3 linked regions of the Callithrix jacchus genome follow. The protein of the gene in region 3 purifies or fractionates together with the protein of the main gene of each other region. This does not show direct contact. Links are inferred from orthologs where the notes say so. Each region holds a gene or a part of one and is shown on either strand. Other genes may lie near its edges.

The links.
Region 1: the proteins of TUBGCP3 (region 3) and LGALS3BP purify together in Homo sapiens (affinity purification with mass spectrometry; 4 studies listed by BioGRID and IntAct, counting the BioPlex papers as one, with this or other methods). This does not show direct contact. The link is inferred for Callithrix jacchus from reciprocal best matches to the Homo sapiens genes TUBGCP3 and LGALS3BP.
Region 2: the proteins of TUBGCP3 (region 3) and NEDD1 purify together in Homo sapiens (affinity purification with mass spectrometry; 3 studies listed by BioGRID and IntAct, with this or other methods). This does not show direct contact. The link is inferred for Callithrix jacchus from reciprocal best matches to the Homo sapiens genes TUBGCP3 and NEDD1.

The regions. Positions count from the first base shown.
Region 1 is NC_133506.1:134,725,521-134,729,272, reverse strand, and holds the start of LGALS3BP (galectin-3-binding protein), read left to right. Parts: upstream 1-976; 5' UTR 977-1,077; intron 1,078-2,500; exon of another isoform or gene 2,501-2,503; 5' UTR 2,504-2,508; coding exon 2,509-2,578; intron 2,579-3,517; coding exon 3,518-3,709; intron 3,710-3,752.
Region 2 is NC_133510.1:100,025,153-100,028,804, reverse strand, and holds part of NEDD1 (protein NEDD1), read right to left. Parts: intron 711-3,652; coding exon 644-710; intron 204-643; coding exon 99-203; 3' UTR 1-98. UniProt on the Homo sapiens protein: Required for mitosis progression. Promotes the nucleation of microtubules from the spindle.
Region 3 is NC_133502.1:27,996,887-28,000,538, forward strand, and holds part of TUBGCP3 (gamma-tubulin complex component 3), read right to left. Parts: intron 3,075-3,652; coding exon 2,939-3,074; intron 2,111-2,938; coding exon 2,042-2,110; intron 1-2,041. UniProt on the Homo sapiens protein: Component of the gamma-tubulin ring complex (gTuRC) which mediates microtubule nucleation.

The sequences.
Region 1 (3,752 bases), on a different chromosome or scaffold from region 3:
GCCTGGGCTTGACCACAGATTAGGCCAGCTGGACCCAGGGGTGCAGGTGGGAGCATCTCTGCTTCTCTCTGCTCTGCCCCATGGGCCCCAGCAGCCTGGGCCCACATCCTCTCACTCGGAAGCCAGCTCTCACTGGGCTGGCTGGGCTCACAGCTCCACCCTGGAACCATCCATGTGGCCTGGAGGGCCCCTCAGGGCTCAGACAGCCAGACCTGGGGTGGTTGAAGGCCAAGAGCCGGGTGCCCTCTGGGAACCACACAGCCAGGAGTGGGAAGGGGTGCTCAGAGTAGGGAAAAGGAATGGGTATGAGTGGACAGAACCATTATGTCACCCCAGAGAGGCTCTGTCCCCCGCCCCGCTGAGGGGGAGACAGGAGAGCAGCCACAGGTCCAGCAGTGTGAACACAGGGTCTAGGGTCAGGTGCTGGAGCGGGGTCCAGCTCCTCCACTGGCCAGCTGCACACCTGGCTCTCAGGGCCTCCCTCCCCTGGGACAGGGGACAGTACCGCGCAGCGTTGCAGGGAACAGGCCCTCTGTGTGGTGAGCATGCCAAGAGCTCGGAGAGGGTGGATTTGCACATGAGCAACCACCTGTGCAGTGTCCACCCAGCCAGCAATGTGCTGGACCCAGGAAAGGACTCAGAGCGCTCTGTCACCCACAGGAACAAACTGTCTGGGCCCACAGCCTCTGCTTCTTCCCCTCCTGTCCCCCAAACGCCAGCCCCTGGCCGGCCTGGAGGCGTTTCCAACTGACTGTGGCTGTCAGTCTTCTTTCGGGCCTTGCTCCAGCCAGACTCCCGCCTTGGGCCTCTGCCATCCCGGCACTGACACCCACATGCAGAGCTGAGACAAAAGAGAGGGGCCCCCGGGAGTGTCGTCAGCAGCCAATCCCAGAAGGCATCTATGTCAGATGGTTTCTGGAAATCGAAACTTGACTGTTTCCTGAAGCATTTCCTGGGATCAGCCTGACCACGCTCCATACTGGGAGAGGCTTCTGGGTCGAAGGACCAGTCTGCAGAGGGCTCCTGGAGCTGGAAGCAAGGAGGCTCCAGCACAGCCATCACAGCCGCTCCAGCCAGGTAAGCTCCTGCCTCCAGCTCTCAGGTGGGCACCCCCGCCTCTCTCTCTTTTTTTTTTTTTTGAGACAGGGTCTCACTTTTTTACCCAGGTTGGAATGCAGTGGGGCGATCTCAGCTCACTGCAGCCTCTGTCTCCCAGGTTCAAGAGATTCTCCTGCCTCAGCCTCCCGAGTAGCTGGAATTATAGATGCCTGCCACCATGCCTGGCTAAATTTTGTATTTTTAGTAGACACAGGGTTTCACTATGTTGGCCAGGCTGGTCTTGAACCCCTGACCTTATGATCTGCCCGCCTCGACCTCCCAAAGTGCTGGGATTACAAGTGTGAGCCACCGTGCCCAGCCAGGGCACCCCTCTCTCTACACAGGCAAATGGGGGTCACTCCTCCCTGTTTGCACATAGGCCTGGAGCTATCCTTGCTGCTCCCAGGCCCATCTCTGTACAGTTGGGCAGATTGCTTACTACACAAGGATACCAGCCAAAGGGGCAAGTGGGCTGGAAATCAGCTTGGCCCTCTCAGGTCTGTGCATTGAGCCTAGGCCTGCACCCACCCCAACGAAGGGTACCTTTTTTTCAATTCACATGAAGGCACCCTAGGGGTCAACACAGATAGCCGGTCTCAACTTTCCATATGAAAGAATCAGGGAAATATACCCAGCCACTGCCACCCAAAGGGCAGCAATGGTGCCTGCCTGGTGCTTCATTGTCCACTTTTTTTTTTTTTTGAGACAGAGTCTTGCTCTGTCACCCAAGCTGGAGTACAGTGGTATGATCTCAGGTCACTGCAACCTCTGCCTTCTAGGTTTAAGCGATTCTCTTGCCTCAGCCTCCTGAGTAGCTGGGACTACAGGTTCACACCACCGTGCCCAGCTATTTTTTTTTTTTTTTTTTTTTGGTATTTTTATTAGAGATGGGGTTTTACCATGTTGGCCAGGCTGGTCTCGAACTCCTGACCTGAAATGATCCACCCACCTCAGCCTCCCAGAGTGCTGGGATTACAGCATGAGCCATCGCACCTGGCCAGTTGGCCATTTTTCCAAGGCCCTCGCCCATGGCCTCCTCCCGCTCCACCCTCCCCCATGCCTGTGCGGCAGCCTTGCCCGGCACCTGGTTTTCTGAGATGGGCTCACTCACTTCCAGTCACCAATTCTTGCTGTCCTTACTGCCAGGGGCCACCCCCAGCCCACCCCTTCATCTAGCCAAGTCTAACACATCTTTCCAGGACCATGCTGCAGACCAGGTGAGGAGCCCCTGTGGGGGCAACCACAGCGTCCATCACACTTACCAAGACCACAGTGGGCTCTGCAGGAGAGGTACCCTGCCTGCCACACAGCCCAGGTCGGGCTGAAGGGTGGATGGGCAGGCCAGTCCCCCGGCATCGGGCCACCGGGCTCCGGTGCCTCACTCCACCGCTTCCATCCACAGCAGGATCCATGCGTCCAGGCAAGGCCATGGTCCCTCTGAGGCTCTTCTGGATGTGGCTGCTGGTTGCAGGGACCCAAGGTGAGCTGAGTCCCTGGGAAATGCCAAAAGCAAAAGTCTGTGAGGCTGCTGCACCCTGGGTCTGTGCACAATGCCCAAAAGAGGTTGTGCCTGGGGTCTGAGGCCCGGTGGTTAGCCGAATCTTCTCTCTTCCGGTATCCTGAGTGATCATGGCTTGGAGGTTCCAGGGGCTCACCTGGGCTCAGGTGAGCTGCAGGTTATAGAGAGGACACCAGGGAATTCTCCATTCCATCCAGAGGGAACCAGAGGAGCTGATCAAAGCAGCAGTCACGGGGTGTTGTGGGGTCCATGGCCTTGGATGCAGGTCAAGCTTCCAGAGGGTCCTGGCTGCCTTTCCTCATATTCTTTACCCTGTGAGCCCCTGGAGACTCATGCTCATCCTGGGGGCCCCACAGAAGCCAGACGTGCCCCCAACTGAATTCAGCTCCTACCAGGCTCTGCCAGCTCCTGTAGGGGCGAATGTCAGTGGGCAGAGTCCCAGAAGGTCATGTGTGGGGTAGGAATCCCATTCTCTGCCCTGGAAGTATTCTGCCTGTGCTCCCAGGGGTCCCTAGGCCTGCTGTCCCCACTAGGCCAGCACCCGCAAACTGCAGACACCCTCAGGAGGGGTTAGCATGGAGCCGCCTTTCCCTCGGGGTCCTGCCACCTCCACTCCCAGTGCTGGAGAACCCAGGGCTTCTCTGCCCCGTTCTGTCTATGGAGTGAAGGGCTGAGACCCCTAAAACAAGGAACGGCATGTTTAGCCTCCATGTAGGGGGTCTGTATGTATCTTCCACTCCCCCTCACAGAGGTGCCCCTCACGGAGAGGCAGGGGGACCTTGAAGCACTGGAAAACAAGCTCAGCAGGGGAGTCCCAGGACAGCGTGGGGGCCCTAGAGGTTGGCGCGTGGGGGGGGCGCTGCAGGCTCCAGCCTCACCCTTGTTGGTCTCTCCCTGCAGCCGTGAACGATGGTGACATGCGGCTGGCTGATGGGGCCACTGCCAATGAGGGTCGTGTGGAGATCTTCTACAGAGGCCAGTGGGGCACTGTGTGTGACAGCCTGTGGGATCTGACTGATGCCAGCGTCGTCTGCCGGGCCCTGGGCTTTGAGAACGCCACGCAGGCTCTGGGCAGAGCTGCCTTTGGGCAAGGTAGGACCTGCTGTCCCTGTCCTCTGGGGCTGAGACCCACAGC
Region 2 (3,652 bases), on a different chromosome or scaffold from region 3:
CTCTTCCCTGGAGGCCATGAAAACAATACTGATTCTATGCAGTTCTGTGTTCCCAGAAACTTCCCAAATTACAGAACATTAAGGTATTCACTGAAATTTCAAAAGTGGGCCCGTAGTCTTTTGTTTTCTTCTCGTAGTCTTTCAATTTCAGCCACTAAACCTTCATTCACTGAGTATCTTTCCAGCAAAGAATGCATTTCATTCTAGAAAAAGGGTAAAATGCCTTTTAAATTACTGATATTTCACATTTATTTGGCAGTCTATGTTTTACATACTTTCAGCTATCATTTTGCTCATGTTCAATTAACTAAGTGAATGATATTTCTTGTACTTAACTCTTACTACTTTGTTAATATAAATGGAAGATCACTGGTAAAATTAATATATTTGGAAAATTTATATTTGCACATTTAAGATGCTTTTTGCTTACTCATCAGGAAGAAAGCCATGGGAAAAAGAAGCTTTAACTATCTCATAGGTCAAAAGGAGGTGACCAGTGAAAATCTATTTTACTTATTTAATGTCTAAAACACCCTATTTATTTTAAAAATTAAATAAAACAACTAAAATAGATCACCTTTAATGGATTTTTTAAAATTCACACAACTCTACTTTCATTTAAAATAACATTCGTCATACATACCAGTTGCATATGAAACTGTTTAATCATCTCCACTTGCAAATTCACAATGTCCCTATGGCATGCTTCTCTAGGAAGAATGTAAAATACATTTTAGAATTACAATAGTTTAACCAATTCTAATTCATTCAAGAAACTCAAAAAACTTTTTCATTTGCCAAATTACTGAATATTAATAATTATTATAATATAAAAATACCAATGCACTGAGCATTTATTTACTATGTGCTAGGTACTGTTTTACTTTAAATGTGAGAACTCATTTAAAACATCTTCACAAGTAGGTGCAATTATTACCTCTATTTTACCGAAGAAATAACTGAGCCACAGAGCAGTTATAACTTGTCCAAAATCACACAACCAGTAAATGATGAAGGTAGGATGTAAACTCAGGCTGTCTACCTACTGAATTCCCCCATACTATATTCTTTCATATAGAAATTGTCATTAAGACACAAACTTATATTACAATGAAATACGAAAAATTCACTAGGTTAGAAAGAGCATTTTATTATCAGTTTAGCTATTGAAAAAATGTACTTTCAGTAGAAAGTGGCAATTTGGGTGGTTATAGCATGGCTGACTCAATAAAATGCAATTAATTCATTCCTACAAAAGAACATATAAAAATTATGAAATATAATGATAAAAAAACACTCAGTCACCCACCATTCAACTTATGAACTAGAATGTCACCAAATCATAGAAGCTTCCTGTGTGTTCCTGATTCTCACTTAACTCTTGGTGGTAAGCCCAAGAAAGAAGTCATTACCCTCCTGAATTTTGTTGGACAAAAAAAGTTCTTTTTTAATATCCTTGTATAACATATAATCTGTAGTCAATGTTTTCATTGTTCTTGAGCATTTAAGCTTTACAAAAAAGGGTAACATATAGCTTATTTTTAAGGAAGAATTCAATATTGTTTTGAAGATTCATGTTCCATATATCTGTAATTCACTGGTTTGTATTGGTGTATCCATATTCCTGTTAAAATTTTGATTGTTTTAAAGTTTTTATTATTACAATGTCATAATCAATCATGTATTATCTCCCAACTCACATGGGCCAATGTCCATCGATGACATACACTCAAGAGTATACTCCCTTTTACAAAGTCATGCAAATTGTTTTTCAAAGGTAGTATCAATGGACATGTTCATCACCAGTATAACAGAGTTCTTCTTGCTCTATATCATCATCAAGACTTAGTATTACCAGATTTCTCATATTTTCCCATTGAATGGGAAATGGTATCTCATTGCATTTTTAGTTCTCTGATTATGAGGCTGAGTATATTTCTTGTTTTCATATACCATTCCTCTTCCTTGAAATGCTTTTCTTATTCATTTATAAGCATTATTTACATAATCTGATCCCTTTTTATATGAGAACTGCAGATATCTTCTTATCCCTTCACTCTGTGATATACTGTGATGAACAGTTGTTATTAATGTGCTCAAATATCCTAACCTAATCATGGCAGTCAACTTTACCAATGTACTTTGATAGGTAGTGCATTATTTTGCTTTAAATGATTTCCTACCATGAAGTTATAAACTCTTATGTCAACTTTATACGAAAAATCCAATGTCACAACACAATTTATTATTTCATATTTTGCACACAAATCTGCAGTGCTACCTCTCTATCATTTCCATATATGCATAGGTTTCTTTCCAGCTTATATGATTCCTCTGGCCAATATGTCCTCCCTGTGCCATGCTATATATCTTAATTACACTTTAATGATTAAGCACATTCATCTGACAAGTCCCCTTCAACCTTATTCTTCTCTGAAGTGTCTTGGTTATTCCTAGATTTTTTTTTCTTCCATACATATTTTGGAATCACCTCAACATCTTCTTCCAAATCCCAGCTGGGATTTTAATTGGAATTGCATTCAATCTACCGAACTACTTAGGTGAACTGATATCTTTATAAAATCTCTCCATTTATTTAAATGTTAATTCTTTTGAACAAAAAGTTTAAAAATGTTTTTCTACAAAAATCTTCACTACTTTGGTAGATTTATTCCCAGGTATCTTATTGTTTTTCTGTTGTAACAGCAAGGCTTTCTTAAAATTTTCCTCTTCTACTTTCAGTGATAGTAAAAACTGCATTAAAAACAAAAACACTGTATCAGGGAACCACCAAGGTAGCCAGGACGTCAAGAGCCATGGTCTTGCAAAGAAGGAAAGACTACTAGGTAAGCACTACATTTACCTCTGTTTTCCTTCTAGAGTATGTGCTGATTCCACAGTGTGGAGAAGAAACTGAGCTGAAGCAGTGGTCTGGAGGTTAAGATAGTCTCACTAGGTAGGGAGTATTAAGAGTTTGGGACTACCAAGGTAGCCAAGGCTGTAAGAGTCAAGATCTTGAAGAGGGGAGGCCTGCAGAAAAGCAAGCCTGAAACCGCAATTTCCCCTCGAGATGTCTGTTGATTTCTAAGCAATGCTCGCCCTGGGTTAGATGCCAAAAAGCAACCATAAAACAAGCAACTCAAGAGCAGAGAAAGTAATCTGGAAGTCTTGTGATGCTGGCAAAATAGAAGTTAAAGTTTAGGACCCACTAAGATAAAAAGAATACTCCAGACATTCAACTCATGTCCTAGAAGAGCAAAGACTACACACTAGGAGTAAAGGCAAATCAGAAACAAACTAGTGCTAAGAAAACCTGAAACCTAGTAACTACAGGATCACAGGGATCTGCTTACTGAAAGAAACTTACATCTTCTTAATGGACAACAGAAACAGACACACAGATTTCTACTTAGGATGTATTAGGTTGGTGCAAAAGTGTAATTTCTCAACTCTAAGAATGAAAACAAACCTGATAACCTATAAAATCATAATATTTTAAATTCAACTGAGAGCTTAAAATGGAAAGAAATCTACATGAAGTAAATTCCAGAAAATGAGGAGTTCCTCCTAGGAGAAAAAGAGACCCATGACTGTTTTCATCATCTTCATGCCCTTGACAGAATAAAAAGAACTAACTGAAATTTTAACAAGA
Region 3 (3,652 bases):
TTTTTCCCTGAGTCCTTCTACTAAAGTGGAGCTTTAAAAGCCTGAACATTTAACAATATTGCCATGAGCAGTTGTTTATGTACGTGGCATGGCAACTCTGACACTCTTAGTAAGATCTGCCACACTACGAAATAATTAATTATCTAGGCAATGTTCAGTTCACCTATTTGGCAAGGCTCTCAGATCTTGTGAAATAATCTACGCAATTATCTGTACTATGGTATCTCTTATGCTATGAAAATAACACGTAATGTACGCAAATTAATAAGGCAGGAGATGTGAAAGTTACTAATTTAAATAATTTGTGAAGCCCAGGCATGGTGGCTCACGCCTGTCATTCCAGCACTTTGGGAGGGAGGCAGGTGGTGGTTAGGACTTTCGAGACCAGCCTTGCCAACAGTTTGAAAGAAACTCCATCTCTACCAAAAATTTTAAAATTAGCCAGGCATGGTGGCTCATGCCTGTAATCCCAGCTACTTGGGAGGCTGAGGCAGGAGAATCACTTGGACCCAGCCAGGAGAGGTTGCAGTGAGCCAAGATCGCACCACCGCACTCCAGACTTGGCGACACAGTGAGACTCTGTCAAAAATAAATAAATAATTTGTTAAAATATCACACTACTTCTTGCATTACAACCATTTTAAATTGTTTAAGACATAAGTCAAAGGAGAAAACGGGGATTTGAATATGATGAGAAATTAAATCTGAAGTGAGGCTATGCACTTAAAATATAGTAGCTTTGATCCATAAAGGCTACACACCCGGAACTTACATGTTAAAAAAAATCAATCCCAGCACTTTGGGAGGCCGAGGCGGGTGGATCACGAGGTCAACAGATCGAGACCATCCTGGTCAACATGGTGAAACCCCGTCTCTACTAAAAATTACAAAAAATTAGCTGGGCATGGTGGCGCGTGCCTGTAATCCCAGCTATTCAGGAGGCTGAGGCAGGAGAATTGCCTGAACCCAGGGGGCGGAGGTTGCGGTGAGCCGAGATCGTGCCATTGCACTCCAGCCTGGGTAACAAGAGCGAAAACTCCGTCTCAAAAAAAAAAAAAAAAAAATCGCACCAGCGGCTCCCACCTTACTGTAGGAGACAGGCTCACCAGTGGCAGGTTTCTTAATCCCAAAAGAAAACAGGGTGAGCGTGCCCTGACGCGATGATTTCAGCAGCGTGATGTGAACCTGAGACGTGGGGAAAGGTGCGAAGCAGGCTCTTCCAGAGCAACCAAGAAGAAATTTTAGAGCCCAACTATATTCCTTCTCAACAAAATACTTTCCCCAAAACCTCAAAGAAATGCAATGTCCTTCTTCAGTATTTCAGATACAAAGATAACTGAAGTAAGTTTAAAGGGGTATCTTGGTCAATGAAATGTACTGGAGTCTGAATACTTTAAAAATGAGCACTGAAAAGAGGTATTTTGAGTGCAGACATGGAAAAAGACGGCGTCCCTGGTCAGCCTTTTATGATTTGGTAAGTGTTATGCAGGTTGAAGCACTATGAACAAAGTACAGCTACTTCATCATCAGTTTAAATGAATACAAACATCAAACTTTCTCTCTGAAGGAAAGTGTAATTCCCCTAAAATACACTTTATAGCTCCTTTCAAATTATCCTAAATTAGTTGCTACAGTCTAAGAATAATGGAATGAAATGAACAATCTATTTATTAAGGACTTGCTGAAACCTATGATAGAACAAATGATATTTTTTGTTTTTTTTGAGACGGAGTTTGGCTCGTTACCCAGGCTGGAGTGCAATGGCACGATCTCAGCTCACCACAACCTCCGCCTCCTGGGTTCAGGCAATTCTCCTAAACAAATAATATTTTTAAGAATTTTTAAAATAATAGAGCAGTTCAGTACTCATTAATAATCATTTAAAATACACACACAATTTTGGCTTAAGTATTCATTCAATGAGTATGTCTTAGATGTCGAGTGATCACTTTAATTAGAAGTCCCCAGAGAAGAAAGCCGATTTCAAACAAAATGTTTAGCAATCCTAACAGCTGCAAATACTATAAAAGGATCATCTTACAGTTGCAATTGGTCCATCCACATGATAATCGAGGCTGAAGACATCCCACCCGGTGTCGCCTGGAGAGACCTAACAGAAACAAACACGTAACTGCAGACACATAACTGAGGACGTGTTGACTCAAAGAAACAGCAGTAAAAGAGCGCCCGATTGTTACAAATTGCTCAACAGTTCCGAGTGCATCTTCTTGTTAACGTCTATAACCTTACCAATTAGACAGCAATGAACACACAGTAGGTGCTCTGCAAACATCTGGCAACAAGCAAGGTATTTCTGAATGAATACTGTGGATACGTGTTTAAAATTCATTGTCATTTGCTTATGACAAAAGCCCACTGGAACTAAGTATGTTCCAAATCCTTAGCTATTCCAACATGACTCTTTGGACATTTTAAGAAAACCAATAGGTTTTGCTAATGATCTTTCATCACAACTAAGCAAATAGTGGGTTTATGTTTAAAATATCCATACCCTTAAGAAAAGTCACATCCTACCAAACTGAAACTAAAAACATCAATTTTCTGATAAATATCATTATATACCATGTCTTGTGCTCCTGTCAGATTCACTGTGAGAAGGAAGCACTATTTTCTAAGCATCTGCAATGTGCTACCAAGCACGGGGCAAGGGTGTCCTGCATTTTCTCCAACTTAAGCCCAGCAGCCCTGCAAGGCTCCCTGCTGTAAGATGAGCGCACAGAGGCACAGAGTGGAGTAGAGGGGGAGCTGGCCATGCAGTAACAAGGGAGAGTGGAATTCCTACTCAGGCTGCCCAGTTTCCAGAAACATAATGACCAGCTGTGCCTGAAGTAACATGGAAAGCACTCGCTACGACACCCCAGCCCAGGGGTCCTCAGGGCCGGGGCAGCGTTCCCAACACACGGGGCCACAGTAGTACCTCCAGCAGCCGCACGTCCAGCCTTCGCAGGATCTCAGGACTGTCAAACTGTGCGTTGGTGGCTCTGACCGCAGTTTCTAGAATCCCAGTCAGGTTATGCTGATATAAAGTCGTAGCTGGACGGACAAGTTCTGGTCTTAACAAATTTTTTAAAAATTAAAGAAAATATTACTTTAATTCTTAACTTTAAAAAAGCTTAAAAACTATAAAAATTAAGAGTTCAAATCATAACAACTCAAAAGAAAAATGGGACCAATACAATAATGTGGCAACGAAAGCCTCATGGCATTAACTGCAAACAGGGCTTACCAATTATTGTGGAGTTACATTTCTTTACAGTCTCAAAAATACTGGCCTGTAATCCCAGCACTTTGGGAGGCCGAGGTGGGTGGATCATCTGAGGTGAGGAGTTCAAGATTAGCCTGGCCAACACAGTGAAATCCTGTCTCTACTAAAAATACAATAATTAGCCAGTTGTGGTGGTGCACACCTATAATCCCAGCTACTAGGGAGGCTGAGGCAGGAGAATCACTTGAACCCAGGAGGCGGAGGTTGCAGTGAGCACCACTGCACTCCAGCCTGGGCAACAGAGTGAGACTCCATCTCCAAAAAAAAAAATGATTCTGATTCAGCTTAAACTGAAAGTACTTAGATGTGCTATGCTATACACATTAACAAAGTTTTCAAACTTCAGGCTGGCCTATGAGTTACATG